Drosophila melanogaster: one gene and its partners. The protein of the gene in region 3 interacts with the protein of the main gene of each other region in a pairwise test. Each region holds a gene or a part of one and is shown on either strand. Other genes may lie near its edges.

The links.
Region 1: the proteins of CG11726 (region 3) and CG8349 interact in a two-hybrid assay, tested with the Drosophila melanogaster proteins (one large-scale study listed by BioGRID).
Region 2: the proteins of CG11726 (region 3) and Mrm2 interact in a two-hybrid assay, tested with the Drosophila melanogaster proteins (one large-scale study listed by BioGRID).

What each region holds. Positions count from the first base shown.
Region 1 is NT_033779.5:8,213,101-8,217,993, reverse strand, and holds CG8349 (uncharacterized protein), read right to left. Parts: upstream 2,080-4,893; 5' UTR 2,009-2,079; coding exon 1,651-2,008; intron 1,592-1,650; coding exon 1,155-1,591; 3' UTR 1,093-1,154; downstream 1-1,092. Other genes in the region: CG8292 (uncharacterized protein), read left to right, coding at 95-307, 370-1,020; CG8353 (uncharacterized protein), read right to left, coding at 2,880-3,322, 3,507-3,576; CG8360 (uncharacterized protein), read right to left, coding at 3,994-4,213, 4,465-4,657, 4,712-4,775.
Region 2 is NT_033777.3:19,858,548-19,863,692, reverse strand, and holds Mrm2 (mitochondrial rRNA methyltransferase 2), read right to left. Parts: upstream 2,084-5,145; 5' UTR 2,051-2,083; coding exon 1,298-2,050; 3' UTR 1,093-1,297; downstream 1-1,092. Other genes in the region: CG4572 (uncharacterized protein), read left to right, coding at 1-971; Ire1 (Inositol-requiring enzyme-1), read left to right, coding at 2,679-2,807, 2,932-3,046. UniProt on the Drosophila melanogaster protein: S-adenosyl-L-methionine-dependent 2'-O-ribose methyltransferase that catalyzes the formation of 2'-O-methyluridine at position 1579 (Um1579) in the mitochondrial large subunit ribosomal RNA (mtLSU rRNA), a universally conserved modification in the peptidyl transferase domain of the mtLSU rRNA.
Region 3 is NT_037436.4:11,390,368-11,397,854, forward strand, and holds CG11726 (uncharacterized protein), read left to right. Parts: upstream 1-4,322; 5' UTR 4,323-4,403; coding exon 4,404-5,279; 3' UTR 5,280-5,306; downstream 5,307-7,487. Other genes in the region: CG44362 (uncharacterized protein), read left to right, coding at 7,175-7,487.

The DNA.
Region 1 (4,893 bases), on a different chromosome or scaffold from region 3:
TCCAAATTAAGCGTCTCAAGGGGTGCACATTTCCATTGTCGCTGAAAATTGTGTTTGTTGTCAGTGTTAGATAGATTTTCAAAGTCCATAAGCCATGGATGAGTTCGGCGTCTTCGATTACAAGCGCCCTGCCAGCGCTACAGATCCCGATTGGAGGACCTCGTACTATCGAGGGCATCGCCACATTACAGACTTGAGAATGGGTAACAAGCTGAACGCCAAGTTTACGGATAAGGGTATTTATGTAAAAGATCCGCTGCTGTCCGAGAAGCCGACTTCTGAGTGCATGGCCAACTATGTGTGGCAGGTGAGTTGATTGATATGCTGAGATATGTTGCACCAAACTAAAACGTGACCATGATGTTCCAGTATAACGATCCCAACGCACTTAGAAATCCCTCGCTCAACATGAAAACACAGTATATGAAACCATTTGAGGAGGGTTCCCTTCGCTTTGTAAAGCGAAAGATGAAGCCCATTTCTAGTGTCAGTCATGAGTCGTATGTACTTAAGGAGCTGCCGGAGGAACAGGAAATATTGCCTGTAACAATGCCCACTCCGGTGGTAGCCACCAAGCTAGTCATCGACCGTTCGGAGGCGTCCTTTAGCAAGTACCTTGATCCCTCCTCCACCACATACAATCTGTCGTATGTGCGCTGGGGTCCCGAGGACTTGTGTGGCGGAGTAGCTGCCCACGACAATATTACATACTGGAATTGGACGGAGAAGATGCCGCCCATCCAGAAAGTGTCCCGCGAAGAGGATCCTACAATGTGTGACGAGGGTAATACGCATAATTGCCCAAAGCGACGCTGTGAGTTTCAAAACCTCACCAAACGAGTGCCGCATTCGGGAATGGTCACCGAGGTGCGCGCTAATTTCACGGATCCACAATTTCGAAGGGTTGAATTCGATCCAGAAGTTAAGCCCATACTCGTGCACGAGGAAGTCACTCCGTTTGCGGAGAAAAGCGAATACGGCATCTACGGATCGGGAGAACCAGTTATCAAATACGTTTAGTTCTCTACACATTGTTTTGACTTTTTGTCAAGTTAATCAGATCGCTAACTTAAATTATTTGCAATACTTATTGACATTAGAACGAATAATTTTATTGCATTAAATAAATTCTGGATATTATTTAGATGAAAATTTCATTCAAATGAGTTAAAGCTGTGGGGAAGCAGATGGTAGGCGGACGTGACCAGCACTTCAGCTTCGTCCGGAATTGAAGGAATGCAGTTCTCTTGCTCCGGCGGCGGAGCCTTGGCAATGTAGATAGGAATATCATTTTGGATGAACTCCAAAATGAACTGCCGGCAGACTCCGCAAGGTGTGGTAAACCCATCTGGGTGATAGGCTACCACAGCACCCGCCGTATACTTCTTCTCGCCCTCGCTGATACCCTTGGCCAGGGCACAACGCTCCGCACAATTGCCTGGAGTGAAAGCTACGTTCTCGATGTTGCAGCCCGCGTAGATCCTGCCGCACTTCGCACGGAAGGCTGCTCCCACTTTGAATTTGCTGTAGGGCGCATAGGCACATCGACGGGCAGAAAGAGCCGCCTCTAGCAGCTCCCGGCCATCCTCACCTGGAGATTACGGTTTGATTACCAATGGCAGAGGATTCACCATTATAGCCAAGCCTTACCAACAGCACAGAACGCTACTGTGTACTCCTCCAACATCTGTGGATGTGGCAGGTTTTCGGATTCACTAGCCCGACCCCTGTCGCCATTTAGACGCGCCTCCCTGCGTGCTAGCTCGCATAGAAATCCCTCCAAGGTCATCATATACTTTCCCAGTACCTTTCGAAGATTCTTCTGGCGCAAGTTCTTGATCTTACCGCCAGCGCACTTGGTGCCAGATTGCTCCTGGCGACGAGCTAGCTTCGCCTGCAACATTTCCAGTTCCTTCATCTTCTTCTCCAGCTCTTTTCGCTTCAGCTCATCCTGTAGGTCGCTCAGGTTCCGCATGTAGCGCTGAAGGAGCTTCCGCTTTTCGGACATTTTGCAGAACTTCAAATTTTTAAAACGAAAACAATTTTTGAAAGCCAGAAGCAAATGCTGTATCTGTTGGCAATTTGTAAAACACTAATGTCAAACAAATTATTTTCTTTTTGTTTCTTTTTCATAAAAATGATTATATTATATTATTTAGCGCCATTTGAATTTTTATTACATTTATTACAGTTGATGTTCATTAAGGCATTTAATGAAACAACAACAACAACTAAATACGTTTAAAATTTTTACAAATTAAGAATGTCGAAAAAGCTCGCGCGTTTTCGACGCGTTTCGGACGCGTTTTGAACGCGCCTTTATCGCGACATCGGTCTAGCCAGTCTGTCTTATTGTTCGTATGAACATCATGATCTCAAAAACTAGAATCCAAAGGAATTGGAAACAAACCTTATAAATTTGATTTAAAAGATTGCCACTACCACAATGATCTTTCTTATTTTCGCTACTATACAAATGGCGAAATTTAATCTCACAATAATTTGGTGTTTATGAATCAGAAGTTGAGTGCATTTATCACGTCATCACAAATCGGGGCATTCCCTGCATTGCGCTTAACGTCAGCAGTTGTCAATCCAAATTCGATATCTTTAATTTATAACCTTAATTTTGATATATAATCAAAAGCGATTAAACACCTTTTCCTAGAATCTTTCACTGTGTCAATCTTTCCAGCATTTATATCCCCATTTCCTATTCATTGATCGAAAAAAAAACATTAAACACTGCTAAGTAGTGTAATTTTCTTTATTGCAAGTGATTAGATCAAAATTATATTGATTAGAGGCAGCAAGGGGTTGAGAAACAACCTTTACCTAGCTACCTTCTGCCTATTTTCGGTTCTTGCCTGCAGTGGTCGTTACTTTCGATAGGTGTGAAAACTGCTCGGCAACAGATTAAAGATTGAGGTGCACATGACGGGATCGTCACTCTGCAAAAGTTCCTGCTTTTCAGCAATCCTCGCATCGATCGCCTGGGCCACATATATGGGTATATCCGCGTTGGCAAACTCGCGTATAAACTGACGACAAACGCCGCAAGGAGTGGTGAATACATTAGGTTCGTAGGCCAAAACAGCACCTGCCAAAAATTCGGTGGCTCCTTCGCTTACGGCCTTAGCAATGGCCGTTCTCTCGGCACAAGAGCCCGGCGTAAAGGCGGCGTTTTCCACATTGCAGCCAGTGAAGATCTTTCCATCGACCTTGGCCCGAAAAGCAGCCCCAACTTTGAAGCCACTATATGGAACGTATGCCCGCTGGCGCACTTGAAAAGCAGCTGTCAGAAGTTCTTGAACCGACGGATCTGGAAGTCGAAACAATGCACGCCACGCTCAAGAATTAAACTTAGATCTTGTCAATGAGTGTAAGGAGTATTAATTTATAACATTATTATTTTTAATATCATAAGAACCACTTTGAATAATTGACAGTCGTAGATATTTAAGGATTGTTCTCAGATTGTTCTCAATCTCGAGAAGGAATCTTACCCAGACTGCCGAAGGTCACAACCTCCTCATTCTTTTCTGGACGTGCGAAATTTTTTGTCAGATGTGTCATTATAGTTCAATTCTTTTGGTCAATAGAGGCACGCCTATTTTCTTAAATTTTGAATTATTTTTAGCAAGTTGAGTGCGTGTGTTTCTCCTTTGAACGTCCGATGGCAAATGGACGGTTTGTGGTGACGGCGGCGCCCGAAGTTGGCTATGCTGATAGCACTCTCCGCCGTGTAGTGGTGACAGAAATAAACATTTGGCCAATTCGGAGCGCGAGAGAGAACCAGGTATCAGGCTGATAAGCAACGATCGCGATCGCGGAGAGCAGTGAAAAACACAAACAGATGCCGTATCTCGTATAAGCTATTCAATCAACAAATAACGAGGGGTGGGTTTACAGAACATTATAAATGGGATGTCACATAAACTATTGCACATGGATTGCACCCTGTCCGGCTGGGCTGGGCTGGGATATTCTTTTCTATTTTCCGTTGGCGAAGCTAAAGCCGTTGGGCAGCAGTTGGAGAACGCTGGTGCAGAGCACCCTCAATGGAAGATTGGTCGGCTTGGCGGCGTACAGGGGGATGTCCTTGCCGTTGACGAACTCCGAGAGGAACTGCCGGCAGACGCCACAAGGCGTGGTGAAGCCATTATCCTGCTGGGCCACCACTGCACAAGCCACAAAGTCGCGTTTGCCTTCACTGTAAAAATGTGTTATTTTAGTTATTCGAAAGGACTTGGAGAGGATAATTAAGTATGTAAGAATTTAAGTAATAGTGTTGTCATTACAGATTAACATTCCTCATTGCTGTCAAGGGTTATCTCAATATATTGAAATCTAAGTTTTTAATCCAAGATAAGCTTTACTGTGACTAACGCTTTACTTTCAGTATTTCCTGTGGATAGATCTCAAGCGATGCGTATGTGACCCAGAGAATATTGACCCACTGACCTGATGGCCTTGACGGCTGCAGTGCGCTCTGCACAAATGCAGGTGGCATACGCCCCGTTTTCGATGTTGCAACCGGAGTATATGGTGCCATCGCTGGTCCTCAGGGCGGCTCCTACGGCAAAGTTACTGTACGGACAATAAGCCTGTTTTCTGGCTTCCGTGGCTGCCAGGATGATCTCTTGAATCGAAGGATCTGCAGAAAGGACCACAAATTATAGTGACATGGCAATGTTTCACGACTTCGTACCCAGGCTCTGGAATTCCCGTACATTGAGATCGTCTCTGGCACCATTGATAAACACCTGTGTCATGGCCAAGCGATTGTTAATGAATATTTCACAATAGAAGTAGCAGCTCAGCCAATAAACACAGCACCAGTTCTCACTTCCAACGCAATGGCAACTGCTGCAACAGCTGTTCGCTGCAGGG
Region 2 (5,145 bases), on a different chromosome or scaffold from region 3:
ATCTCATCTACATTGACAATCCCGTGGGCACTGGCTTTAGTTTTACAGAGAACGATGCCGGCTATGCTACGAACGAGAAGGATGTGGGCCGCAATCTGCACGAGGCTGTGATGCAGCTGTACGAACTCTTCGAGTGGAGCAACTCCTCTGGTTTCTGGGTCACCGGCGAGTCCTATGCCGGAAAATACGTTCCCGCCCTGGCTTACCACATCCACAAGGTACAAAATGCCATAGAGACCCGCGTCTATGTGCCGCTCAAGGGCGTGGCCATCGGAAATGGTCTCTCGGATCCGCTGCATCAGCTGAAGTACGGTGACTATCTCTACCAGCTGGGCCTGATCGACGAGCACGGACTGCAGAGTTTCCACGATGCCGAGGCAAAGGGTGCTGAATGCATTAAGAGTCACGACATGGAGTGCGCCTTCGACGTATTTGATTCCCTAATCAACGGGGACCTTACCAATGGCTCACTGTTCAGCAACCTTACTGGATACAACTGGTACTACAACTACTTGAAGACGCATGATGATGATGGCGCCAACTTGGGCGAATTTCTGCAGGCGGGCGCCACTCGGCGGGCAATTCATGTGGGCAATAAGACATTCCATGATCTGGACAAGGAGAACAAGGTGGAACTTCACTTGAAGAAGGATATCATGGACTCGGTGGCCCCGTGGATAGCCGAACTGCTGGCCCACTATACTGTGTGCATCTACAGCGGGCAGCTAGACATTATTGTTGCCTATCCACTGACGCGCAATTATCTCAACCAACTAAAGTTCCCCGGCTCGGACAAGTACAAGGTGGCTCCCCGCGAAGTGTGGCGCGTTGGGAAGGAAGTGGCCGGCTATGTCAAGCACGCCGGACATCTTGTGGAGATCATGGTCCGCAATGCCGGGCACATGGCTCCTCACGATCAGCCCAAGTGGCTGTACATGATGATTGATCACCTTACTCATTACAAGCACTAGGAAATGCGTACTTAAACTATTCAGTACAATTTGGAGACCAAATTTAAGCCTTTGTTTTTAAAATTAATCATGAATAATTTGGTGTGAGTTTTGAATGCATAAATATGTTGATGAGAGCATTGGGTTGTTAATACTCAACTAAATTCATATAATTTGTTACAGAACTGTATATAACAACAAAGATTAAAACATCAAAAAGAAAATCAACAAAAATGTTGAGATGAAATTAATCCTAGGTTACTTCCCTTTAGTTATTCTATCCAATATAAGCTACAGTCAATTAACAAAGCTTTTAATTCAACTAGTCCAAAAAACGCAGTTAATAATTAACTATCCGTTGCTCCTTTAAAGTTCCTGGCCACCAGGAAGTGCTCGGCGGAGTCTCCGCGGCTAGCGCGCGGTTTTACTCTCTTCACTTTCTCATAAAACCTAAGCATATCTCGCTCCAGCTTGGGCACGTCGCCATTATCCCACACCTTGACCACCAGATGGGCCTGCGGAGCAGACATGGCCAGGGCAAAGCGCAGCACCTCGTAGCAGAGGTTAGTGATGCTCTCCTGGTCCAGCATCCTCACTCCGGTGGCATTGGGTGCCATATCGGACAGCACGCAGTTGACCTTTCTGTCTTGTAACGCTTCCCTCAGCCGCTTTTGTGCCAGCGAAGAAGTGAAATCCATGCCGCCAAAGATTGTGGCACCCGGCACAGCATGGAAATGCAACAGGTCGATGCTAAAGACGGCTCCCTGTGGCGCCCGCTCCTGCTTTCCGTTGGCATTGGTCCGCTCCACGGCCACCTGGGTCCAGCTGCCAGGAGCAGCTCCGCATTCCAAAACTGTGTCTCCGGGCCGCAGTATTCCGTATTTGTCGTCGATCTCCAGTAATTTGAAGGCACTCCGGCAGCGATAGTTCATCATGCGGGCCTTCTCCACGTACGGATCCGCCAGTTGGCGCGTAAGCCACTCCTGGGAGCTCTTGCTCCGTCCTTTGAGGTTCCGCGGCTGCTGTTTGGCATACTTTCCGCCTATTTCCGTGTGCAGCAGGCGTTTAAAAACACAATTACCCGTAAAAACAAGACGCATTGTGTAATATCGAAATTAGATCGCCTATCGATTTTTATCGACCAAAGTCAATACAAGTTCTGGGAAGTTTACACTGCAAGCGCAGAAACTCCAAAGCTCACATTATATTACCACGTATATGTTACAATTTTATCCATGTTGGAATAAAAAGATCTTTTCACATTTAAATTGATTTTATGGCAACAGCGATGGGTAACAATAAGATTTCCATTGCTGCCATCTCAAGCGTCAGTGTGAATGGGATATTATTTCGTTGCATATTTGGCTCGTTGCGTGCTCCCTGGTCACACTTCAAACCAGTACGGTCTTTTCCCAATTATCTGCCCACTGTCACTCTACTCCGCTCACTCGACGAACTCTCAACTCAACAATGGCGAACGTAATTGGAAAATATTGAACGCGAGTGCGAAGAAAATGTGAAATTTAGCACGGCCAGAGCTGCAACAGTGTTTGATGATTGAAAAGTTTTGAAAAAGAGGCGATAATATGCCACAAACAAGAAACGAAAACTGACTAAACGTGCAAACTGAATACGGATCGGAAATAGCAGTAACTAGTTCCCTCTCTCTTTCGCTCTCTTTTCTCTTCTAATACCCCCGCCCCGCGCCCTACCGGTTGCAAAAACAAAATGAGATTCTGCGTTGTTGTTTGTTGCGTGTTATTTTTGCTGGCCAGCGGGCTTATTGCATCAGCTACAGCAAAATCACAACAGGGCGACTCGGCAGAAGTCGTCAGCAGCGGCGAGGATGAGAAGACGGTAAGTGGGGGCGGCACTGGGCCGTATGACCCACTAAGGGCTAACACTGGACTACCAATGAATATTTCATCACCTTGCCCGATATGTTGTTCATAAGTTTCTCTCGCTCTTCCACAACCCGCAGGACTGCACGGACCTCGCCCGCGACGAGGAGGCGCTGATGGTGTTCTCCACACTGGGCGGCGGACTGACAGCCATCGATCCGGTGACCAGCGAAATACGCTGGACAATAGCAGATGGTAATTACGCGGGCACTCCGCTGTCCTCCACACTCACTGCACCCCTATTTTCCGGCCACAAGTGTGGGACTCGAAACATATGATGGGCAAAGAAGGGTCCTTATTATCAAAAGTGGGAATTTTCCAGCATATATCTCGGGAAATGGGTGTTTTTAGGTATCTAAATACTTTAAAGATAAAAAAACAATATGGTTTTGTTATTGAAAACATTCGAACTGGAAGCACTAAGATCTTTCATAAATGCAAAGTCAGGAAAATTTAATTGTTACCGAATGCCACATTAAGAATATTTTTGTTTTGTTTATTGTTTTGCTCATTGAAATGTGAGAATGTTTCTTTAGACCATTTAACAGCTAAATTTAAATCGTTTTATTTGCGTTTATTGTTGTTTTAAGCTAAATCTAGGAGTCTTTTTTTTTTAGGGAAATTGCCGCTTTATTTGCATAGTAGATTTAAAGATCTTAAGAGATCTAGCTATATATATATATTTATTCCCATGCTGTCACCACCCCTCCTGGAAAATTGCCACTTCACCAGGCTGTTGCACTCGCCGTTTGAAGTGCGAAATGCGTAGCACATGCATGCGCTCGATGAGCTCATCGCAGATTTCGTATCTGCCAGATGTAAGAGCCTAGGATAGATCTTTCCACCGCCTTTCGTGCTCTATTATTTTCACTCTCGCCATTAATGTTGTGTATTGTGCTGCGGGCCTGATAAGGTCCCGCGTCTAGCGCAATCTCGACAAGCGTTCTCGGCACACAATTCCACCAATTAAGTTGCCAGCCAGTGCGCCATATCACCAGTTGCTGTTCCCCCATACCCTTTCCGCAGTGGGTGGTTGGGACTTTGAGCCATTTTCCATTCGGTTCATTGAATATTCCCATAATTTCTCAGCGTGACGTATTGATTTTCGGTGGCTCTCAAGTGCGTTAATCTTGTGGTCATTTGGCTGCTTCGTATTAACCTCTGAGATTAGCTGGCATATATAAATGAGTCACCAGGAGAAAGATGTTAGTAAATTGCGCGATTAAAGGGGTTAATGTGCATAGCTTTCGTTTGAATTGGTGCACTTGTTGGCTACCATTAGTATTATTATGTTTGTTTAATGTGTATAGCATTCAATAGATCACTAAAATGGGGCTTCACTTATCTAATTAAAAAGTGAGGGCATTTTCAATTCGAATTATCGAATATTGCTTATAAACCTGGTGCTATTTTTATTTTCACTGGCTTTGTTGATTGATTTTCCACTTCAGAGCATTCATATTCGCCTGATAAGTAATGCCTCAAGAACTTCCTTTAATTACTCCCCAACTAAGTATTGGAGTTATGCCAAATGACTCTCTGTGGACAATACGCCCTCCACATGTTTGTTTAATTTCTGAAATAAAAAACCCACGCCCCGTGAAGATTATTTTATGTGATAGCTGCAATACACATGTATGTCCATTCGTATTATTAGAAATTTCATGCTGCCCGCTTGTCGCCGGGCTTCGTGGAACTGCAAATGATTGAAAATTCAGGGAGACAAACATGTGGACAGCATCTGACTAGCGGTTTCATGGCAGAGCGCACTATTTGGGCAGTATTTTTCCGAGTCATTCAAGCCAATAATATGTTTTTGATTCGCGGTAATTACACTGTTTCGCCGGCTCTAGCACAGCAGATCGGTGTACCGATTTGTTAGGTTCTATTACCTCATCACGAGACGGAATCAGGTTTTGTCTACGACTACCGCTAGGCAATTAGAATGCTCATGCTAATGAAAGTGCTGCGGCGAGTTAAATGACCTGCCCCAGAAATTGCGGCAACATTCGGTTAATGCCGGGAATGTTTTTGGGGTTGCAACTAATTATTGATAAGAATGGACAGTACATCGAATTGTTTGGTTTCATTACTCGATATTGGTTGACGACCATCTTTCCTGGCAATACTTGAGTTTTGTTTAAACCATTTCGTCAATATCGTGCATGCGATGATGGTCTCCATTTGCATTCGACAAAGTCAGAATTTAACGCTGTTGCCTCGCGCGAATTGTTGGCGATAACAGAAAGAAATTGCCAACACGACTGGCGTAAACACTTTGGATTTGATCAGCC
Region 3 (7,487 bases):
TAAGATTTATAAGATTTGATTATACTGAACTTTCCTTTTAGAAAAATTTAAATTTTCATTAATTGTTAAATCCTATTGAATAAATTCACAGTATTGTGGCCAGCATTTTCTCGCAGTGCTAGCCTCGTCCAATTGGTATTCCATCAGGGCGTGCCATCATGCATTGTCATTACCCGAATCGCGGGGCCTTCACCTCGCCCGCGCCAAATCCCAGCGAAATAACCAAATTTAATAATAGCGTGAAAAAGCACTCACCTCTTTCATATGCAATCAGAGTTCGGAGTCAGACAAAAACGGCGGAGCTGCAAAAAAGTAAACTAAATTCTGAATAATGATGGCCACGCGGAACTGAACTGAACTGGAACCCGAACTCCAACTGGAGCTACAGCCCAAGCCCAAGCCCAAGCCCAATCCGAATCCCAAACCCAAAACCCAGATCCAAGCTCCGGTTCTCTACGCTTTCTGATTACGCCGCGTAATGGTGGGAGTGGGAATGGGTATGGAAATCGGAATGGAAATGGAATTGGAATGGAGATGGGGATGGAGATGGGGATGGAGATGGGGGCTTGGAGGTGGGAAAGGAAGTGGGTGAAATTTCGCCAGCTGAATGCTGAATGCAAATCGTAATTTGGGGGCTTAACGTTTGATGGGTTTTTCATAAATGTGCAAAGGCTGAAAATGGTTCCACATTGAAATTCGCACAGATTCGCTGGCCAGTAATTCAATGATTGACCCCCTGAACTGGCTACAAAGGAAATGATCAAAGCGAAATTTATGTAAAGTATGCTTTTTAATCGGATACAACTTGTCACTTTGAAGTATTTATAAATCCAATTAAAATAAGATTTTTGAATGATAAGAAATATATTTTAACTAATTAATAATCAGCATTCTATTGTATCTTATTGAAATGAAATAGCACAAAATTTATAAAAAACTAATTAAAATTCCAATCATAATTCGCAGCTTACCACTTGATGGGCGTTTAATGAGCTCGTGAGATTCAAAGGAGGGCCCCACTTGTAAGATTTGTCAGCTAATCCAATGTGGGATTGACTTGTGATCCGCAAACGAAACTCCTTGACTCGAACGGAAGCTGGCTAATAAGGGGATTCCCTGGCTAGCTCCGATTGTCTGTGCATGAATCATGCGCAGCTTTGACATTTATGGCCTCAATTTATTTGATAAATTTCACACGCACGTTATCAATTGGCAGACGACAGTGACTCCCCCCTTCGGTGGTGGGCAATAAATTTTGACGGATTAGTTCGCTTATGAGTGGCATCGGCGAAAGGACTTCGAGGAATCCCTTGGCATCCAAAAACCAGTGGGCAAGTGGGCGAAACTATTCGCCATGGGATAAACTGTAATAATGGCCATTATTATTTATTTTTATTTTCCTCCCCGCTGTGTGTGCGGCGTATCAATTTTCATAAAATATCGATTGCCTGGTTATTGATAACCGTGGCTAAAGTCATATTATTTCCCGGTGCTCGGTTCGATGCGGACCAGATCCGGCGTGAAAATAAAACCCTCGGATTGATAAATTTTCCGATTTCAGGCCTGCTCAGGCCGTGCATTTGTCAATTTTGGCGCAGCTCGGTGGAGCGACTTCTGATTTCGATACCGGGAGTAGTCATCTATGCCATGATTTCGGCACAAATGAGATAGTCATAAAGATTATAAAATGGGGGTTGGAAGTCGAGGTAATTCAATGGGATGGTTGTGATTGTCAGAGGGAATAAATTGCCCACATTCAAACTTTTAAGAAAGTGTCTTCATCGTGGAAAATAAATTACCAATGATAGATTCTTAAAATCATTTTATTTCTACTTCAATGGACTTAATATCTGCTCATTGAGGGGTATATTTTTTGGCAGAATTATAATACTCCAAACTTACGATAATGTTTCTCGAACCAAAAGATTTGATTTGAATACCACCATAACAGCACATAGCTAGCTTTTTAATGCACTTGAATATTTAAAGGGTAGCAGGGGAGTAAATAAACAATTAGTTATCCCCATTGTTGAACCCCTTAATGAGCATTTTCCAGCACACCATAAGCTGCATTTAACCAAATCATGATAATTGCTCCAATCGAGACAATTTGCCAAAGCCAATTGATTAATTAATAAGGTGCTCGAGCTTATTCGAAGCTCGGAATAGAACCGGGAAATGATTTTGGGTGTGGCCAGGCCGCCAGTTCTTCAGTCTCTGGGCTACCTACATAATTTAAAGCTAATTAATTTTCCTGGCGCAGCTCATTCGAAATACATCAATCAAAATCCAAGTTGGGGGCTAATTGCATTTACCTGATGACGGTTTTCATTTTGGTACCGCCCCTTCTTCAGATTTTCCATCAATTACCGAACACAATCAAGAAATTACGATTTTTGTTTTGACTTGATGTTTAAAGGGATGTAGACTAAAGCTAATTAACACTTTAAAAAGGCGACGAGTAATTACTTATTTATTGTAAGTTTAAAGTTTTAAAACCGCTTATTAATTGTGATATTATTCCGTTTATTATGTTTCCATATTAGTTATGTCTAAAATGATGACATATTTATGCATGAGATACCATTCTTGGTACTGAACCTTATTTGATATGCACCTCAAATCCAAGTTCTTTTTTACACCTAATCCAAATCATACAACCCTATTCAATTATTAATTTCGATGTGTTGCCCTCTGGTGACCCACAAAGGAGACGGTAGAGTTAAAGATGCCTTGTAGATAGATAGGGTCTACGGACGTGTTCGTCTGGCCCCTCGATATGAGAATTATGGGACACGTTGCTATCGCCAAAAATCTAATGCCTAATCCTCGAAATTAATTACCTTCGCTGCACCTTTGCCACATTTCATTCAGACTGTTTCTATGAAATTAAGCGAAAAGAAAGAAAATTCCATGTAGCTGAAAGCGATCCTAGTGCCCAGATACGAGTAGCTCTCCAGACATCGTACTTATGCCCGTGCACGTTCCGTGGTGAGAGCATCAAGATAGTGTGGAAAAAAAACGTGAAGGCGGAGGCCACTTGACGCTTCCTTCGTGTACACACTGTACTTGCACTGAAAAAAAGAAATGAATGAATAAAAGAGAAGTTCCTTTTTGCAGAAGCTACGGAATATTGAAATATTTGCTACTTCTATGAGATATGGTAATTATAATATACATATATACAATTTAATTTAATATTAATCTAGAATAATAATATATGTATATAGGGCTATCATTTTCAATGTTATAATTTCTAAATGTTGATGTTTATGATATAACCATGTTTTTGAGTGTGGATTTCTTTCGTGTGGAAGTGGAACCCTCTCTGTCTATGGCTTGGATTATAGATGACCCAGGCATCGTCAACTTCATCGTCATGTAAATTTTTGAAATATAATTGGCCTAATATTTTAGCCTGTCCGCTGTCTGTTGGTAATACCCGGTCCCAGACACGTACTACGAGTGTGGCTCGAGGCCCCTGGGCAACAGGCACTTGGCTGGGTTACTTGGCCCGAAAGCCCATAACACTCGTACTGGCGCACTCATGCTGCAGGCCATGATTTTTATCAGTTTACCTTAGTTTGTGTTTGGCCAACGCACCCAATTTTCCACGGAATATGGGTGTAGCCCGTTGCCAGTTGCCTAATGTGGAAACCTCCTTCCATCCTCGCTCGTTTCGGCCCAACCCAACCCAACAAACCAACCGTACCGACCAAACTAACAAATAGCAAACAGAAAACGACACAATCCGTGCATTAGCCAAACTCAAACTCAAACTACGAAACTCCTAACTCAACTCCATGCCACTTGTTTGCTGAACTTTTGATATTTTCCAACCGACGCCGATAGTTGCCAGTTGGGATCCGCGAACCTTGGCATTTGTCTAGTCCGATGGTCGATATATGTGTATAACTGAATCTGTGGAGCAGGTGCTGCACTGAATGCGATCCGCAGCCTGGGAATATTCAATCGAGCATTTTGCCTGGCCAACCAACTATAATTATGCATTGACAGAACGCGAAAAAAGCAATTTATTATTCAAGAATGAAACTTATGCTGAGAAAATGAAGTATAAAGCTTGCTTTATGTAAAACAATCATGATTTTATCAGGATTTAAGACATATCTTTTTTCATTTTTAAGTTGATGAATCAATAATTCGAGTTCATTAGCAGCTAGAAATATATACAATTCAAAAAGATTCGTTTAATATAAAATTATAATCATCATAATTCAATAATTCCTTTACTTATAGTTGTAAAATTTAATGTACACAGAAACATTTTTGTGCCGAAATTGGCATTGCTTTTTGTAGCAGAAAACATTCCCAGTTTTCAAGGAAAATACACCCACGTTCTCATTATATCAATAATACATATATTCTTTATTTGTTGGTAACTGATGGCAAAGATGTCCAAGTCATCGCGTAGCTTCAAGCTGCCACCAGTCAGCTCCTCTTCCGTGTCCTCGGTCTCCGGCAGCGAATCCGGGCAAGGATTGGAAGACATGTTGCACGTGACAAAGGTGCGAACTTCCCAGGTGGACAACGCAGAGCTTTTCATGTACGGCGACGGGCCCAAAAAATCGAATTCAGATCTGCAGAAAAAGGTCAGTACACCCGATCCGGAAGAGGAGGTGTCAATGGAACCACCATTTGTGGCATTGGTCAGCAATTTGCCAATGGAGTGCACTGAAGGCGAGTTGCGGAAAGTGTTCACCAGTTTTTCGATCCGTTCTCTAACCATTCCGAAGAAGGGAAAGCGACCCAAGGGATTTGCGTATGTGGAAATGGATTCCCGCGAGGATCTCGTTCGTCTGCTCAAAATGGATAAGCTTAAGTGCCGTGGTCGTTGTCTTATGGCCAAAATAGGCCAATTGCCACCCGAACCACCGACAAAGGCAGCTGGAGATGGCTTTTCATTATTTACTTGTTCAGGCAGGCAATTTGATATAAACTCTAGCCATTATTCGGCCAGTGTCAGTGATCTCAGCACCATCGATTCGCCAATCTCTGCGAGGAACTCACCATTTCCTTCGGAAAGTGAGTCGTCCTTTTTCGGCAGGGATAATCCTATAAAAAGAATTCCTAGTAGCACTGAGGAAGTGGAACGCCGTATGCAAATTCGTCTTCAGAAACTAGCCGAATTCGAAAATTCTGAATCGGAGAGAATTAAGAGTGAATGCGAGGATGATCCGGATGCCTTCATGTCCTGGAGCGATGCCCTAGACGAGATTAGAAAATCTGAAACTGATTCCTCAAATCATACTGAATCCTAGCAATAAAAGCATGATAATTGAATGTTCAAAATTACAAATTTTTGTATTTATGTAATAATTAAACTTAAATGCAAAAATAGTCCATATATATGTATTAAGCTGACTGCCGCTTATGAATTATTAAAACAATAGGGTTTCGATTTATTTTCCATTTAAAACCTGAAGCCGGGAAACCCGTCCAATGTGCACAAGAATTATGGATCCAAAGTGAGCTAATTAACAAAAATGAAATGCTGTTAATGAACGGTGAAGTGTTCATTTGCCCCTTGGCAACAGCTGCAGGTTACCAAAACCAAAAACCAAAAAAAAAACCGAAATTAAAAGAAAACAATTAATCAACAATATTGACTTAAAGCTGTCAACTGAATTAAATTAAACTGATTTATTAATGTGGCGACAGTTGGGCGATTGAACCGCTGACGTCCAAAATGCGATGGTGACTGTGATTTTGACGCTCCGCCACCCAAAAAGCCGTCCTCTTTGGGCCAACAAACAAAGAGCCAAAAACAATCCAGTAAAGCATACGCTAATTGACCAACTAATTAGCGCATTTAATGGCTGCCACATAGATGTACTTTTTGGTGTATGTGAATAAAATACGGTCACCGAAACAAGAAAGACAGACTTGCTAATGAAATTAACGTAGCGTGGTTAATAGTTTTGCCAAATTTGGAAAATTGTTTTCATTAAATCGGTCGGCTTTAGTTACCCGTTCTGCTCTTGGCGTCATCTTTCTCATGCATTATCTTTATTTCTTTATTAATTTTATTTGTCTGTTAATTCCCGGTCTGCACTTAATGACTCCGGCCCTTGGAGGCACGATTTTTGCCAGCGGAAAATTACTCATAGTCCCCGAGACAGCATGGCGATGACTAAGTTGGCGTCATAAAAATTCAGCCCACTTTGAATCACCGAGAGTGGAAAATTCGGAGTTTGTGAATAGATAGGAAACTAGGCTACTAATTAATATGGGAAAAATTTTTCATTAGCTCTGATACGGTTGATTTTCGATGGTAAAAAGCCGAGTTGTTGCTTTACCAAAAAGCTTTTTTTTGCTCGGTTAGTTTTGGATACATACTAAAATCTTAAGTGTGAATTTATTAATGTAACTAATTGACTCGTTTTCGGTTTCCAAGTCCTTGGTTTATATCACTATACTGTATACCTTTTAGAGTTAATCGAGTTTCTTTTCTGGCTTTAAGGTTCCTCATAAATTTCCATGCTCGGAAAACTGATGAATCTAACTTATTTTCAATTCAGCTTTATCTAAATTTATACGTTTCTCCGTTCCAGCACTTTTGTTGCTTCAATTCATCGACTAATTGCTTGAGTTCGCTTCAATTAGACTGGCCGTTCTTCTAACAATTCGGCCGGTTGCACATAAAATGTCTGTCGACGGCTTTCTCCCTTTTGGCCTCCCGTCTATCCTTTTTTCTCGTCCTTTTCTCTTCTCCTCTCGACCTCTGTCTCTTCTCATTAACTCAACGGTGCGGACAGCCCTTTCAAATTTGGTCAGAAGCGTGGCCAGAACCGCAGTGCCACTCTAAGCTTCATTTTTACACGGTGCAAAATATTGCAAAAAAAAACTTAAAAGTAGTTGATCAAGCTCTTTAAATGTATATTTAAATATGATATTAAGTGCATATTAAGTAAATAGTTAATAAAAAAGGACTATAAATTAATTATTGGACAGTAAAAAATGTGTTAAATTGTATATTCATATATGTACTTGTTTTTCTCCATGTGTAGATTCAACTACCGGGCCAAAAGCCAGGGGCCACGTCCGGAATGCGGAATGTTCTGGCCATTGCCGTTGCCAATTTCCGGAAAATGGCAATGGGCATCACGAGCAGCAGAAGCGCCGGCCGTTGGGCGTAAATTAAAATTAAATTCAAATGGAAAAGTGTCGTCGACGCGACCTGGACTCTGATCCGCAGTCGGAGGAAGGGACAACCGGCGACGGTGTTGGAGCTAGAGGCATTGGCCATTGGCACGTCTGTCGGTTTATGCAACATTTTAGCAATTATATTCGCGTCGGGCGACATTACAACGGCAATTACACGCAGGAGCCACAGAACATGCCCGTGGGCGGATGGATGGTCACGGAGTTTGTGGGGGGTGTGCCACTCCGTCCGGCACTCTGGCATTCCGGCATTCCGGCTTACTGGCATTTTGGCATTCCGCCGTTCCTGTCATCGTCACGTGGAG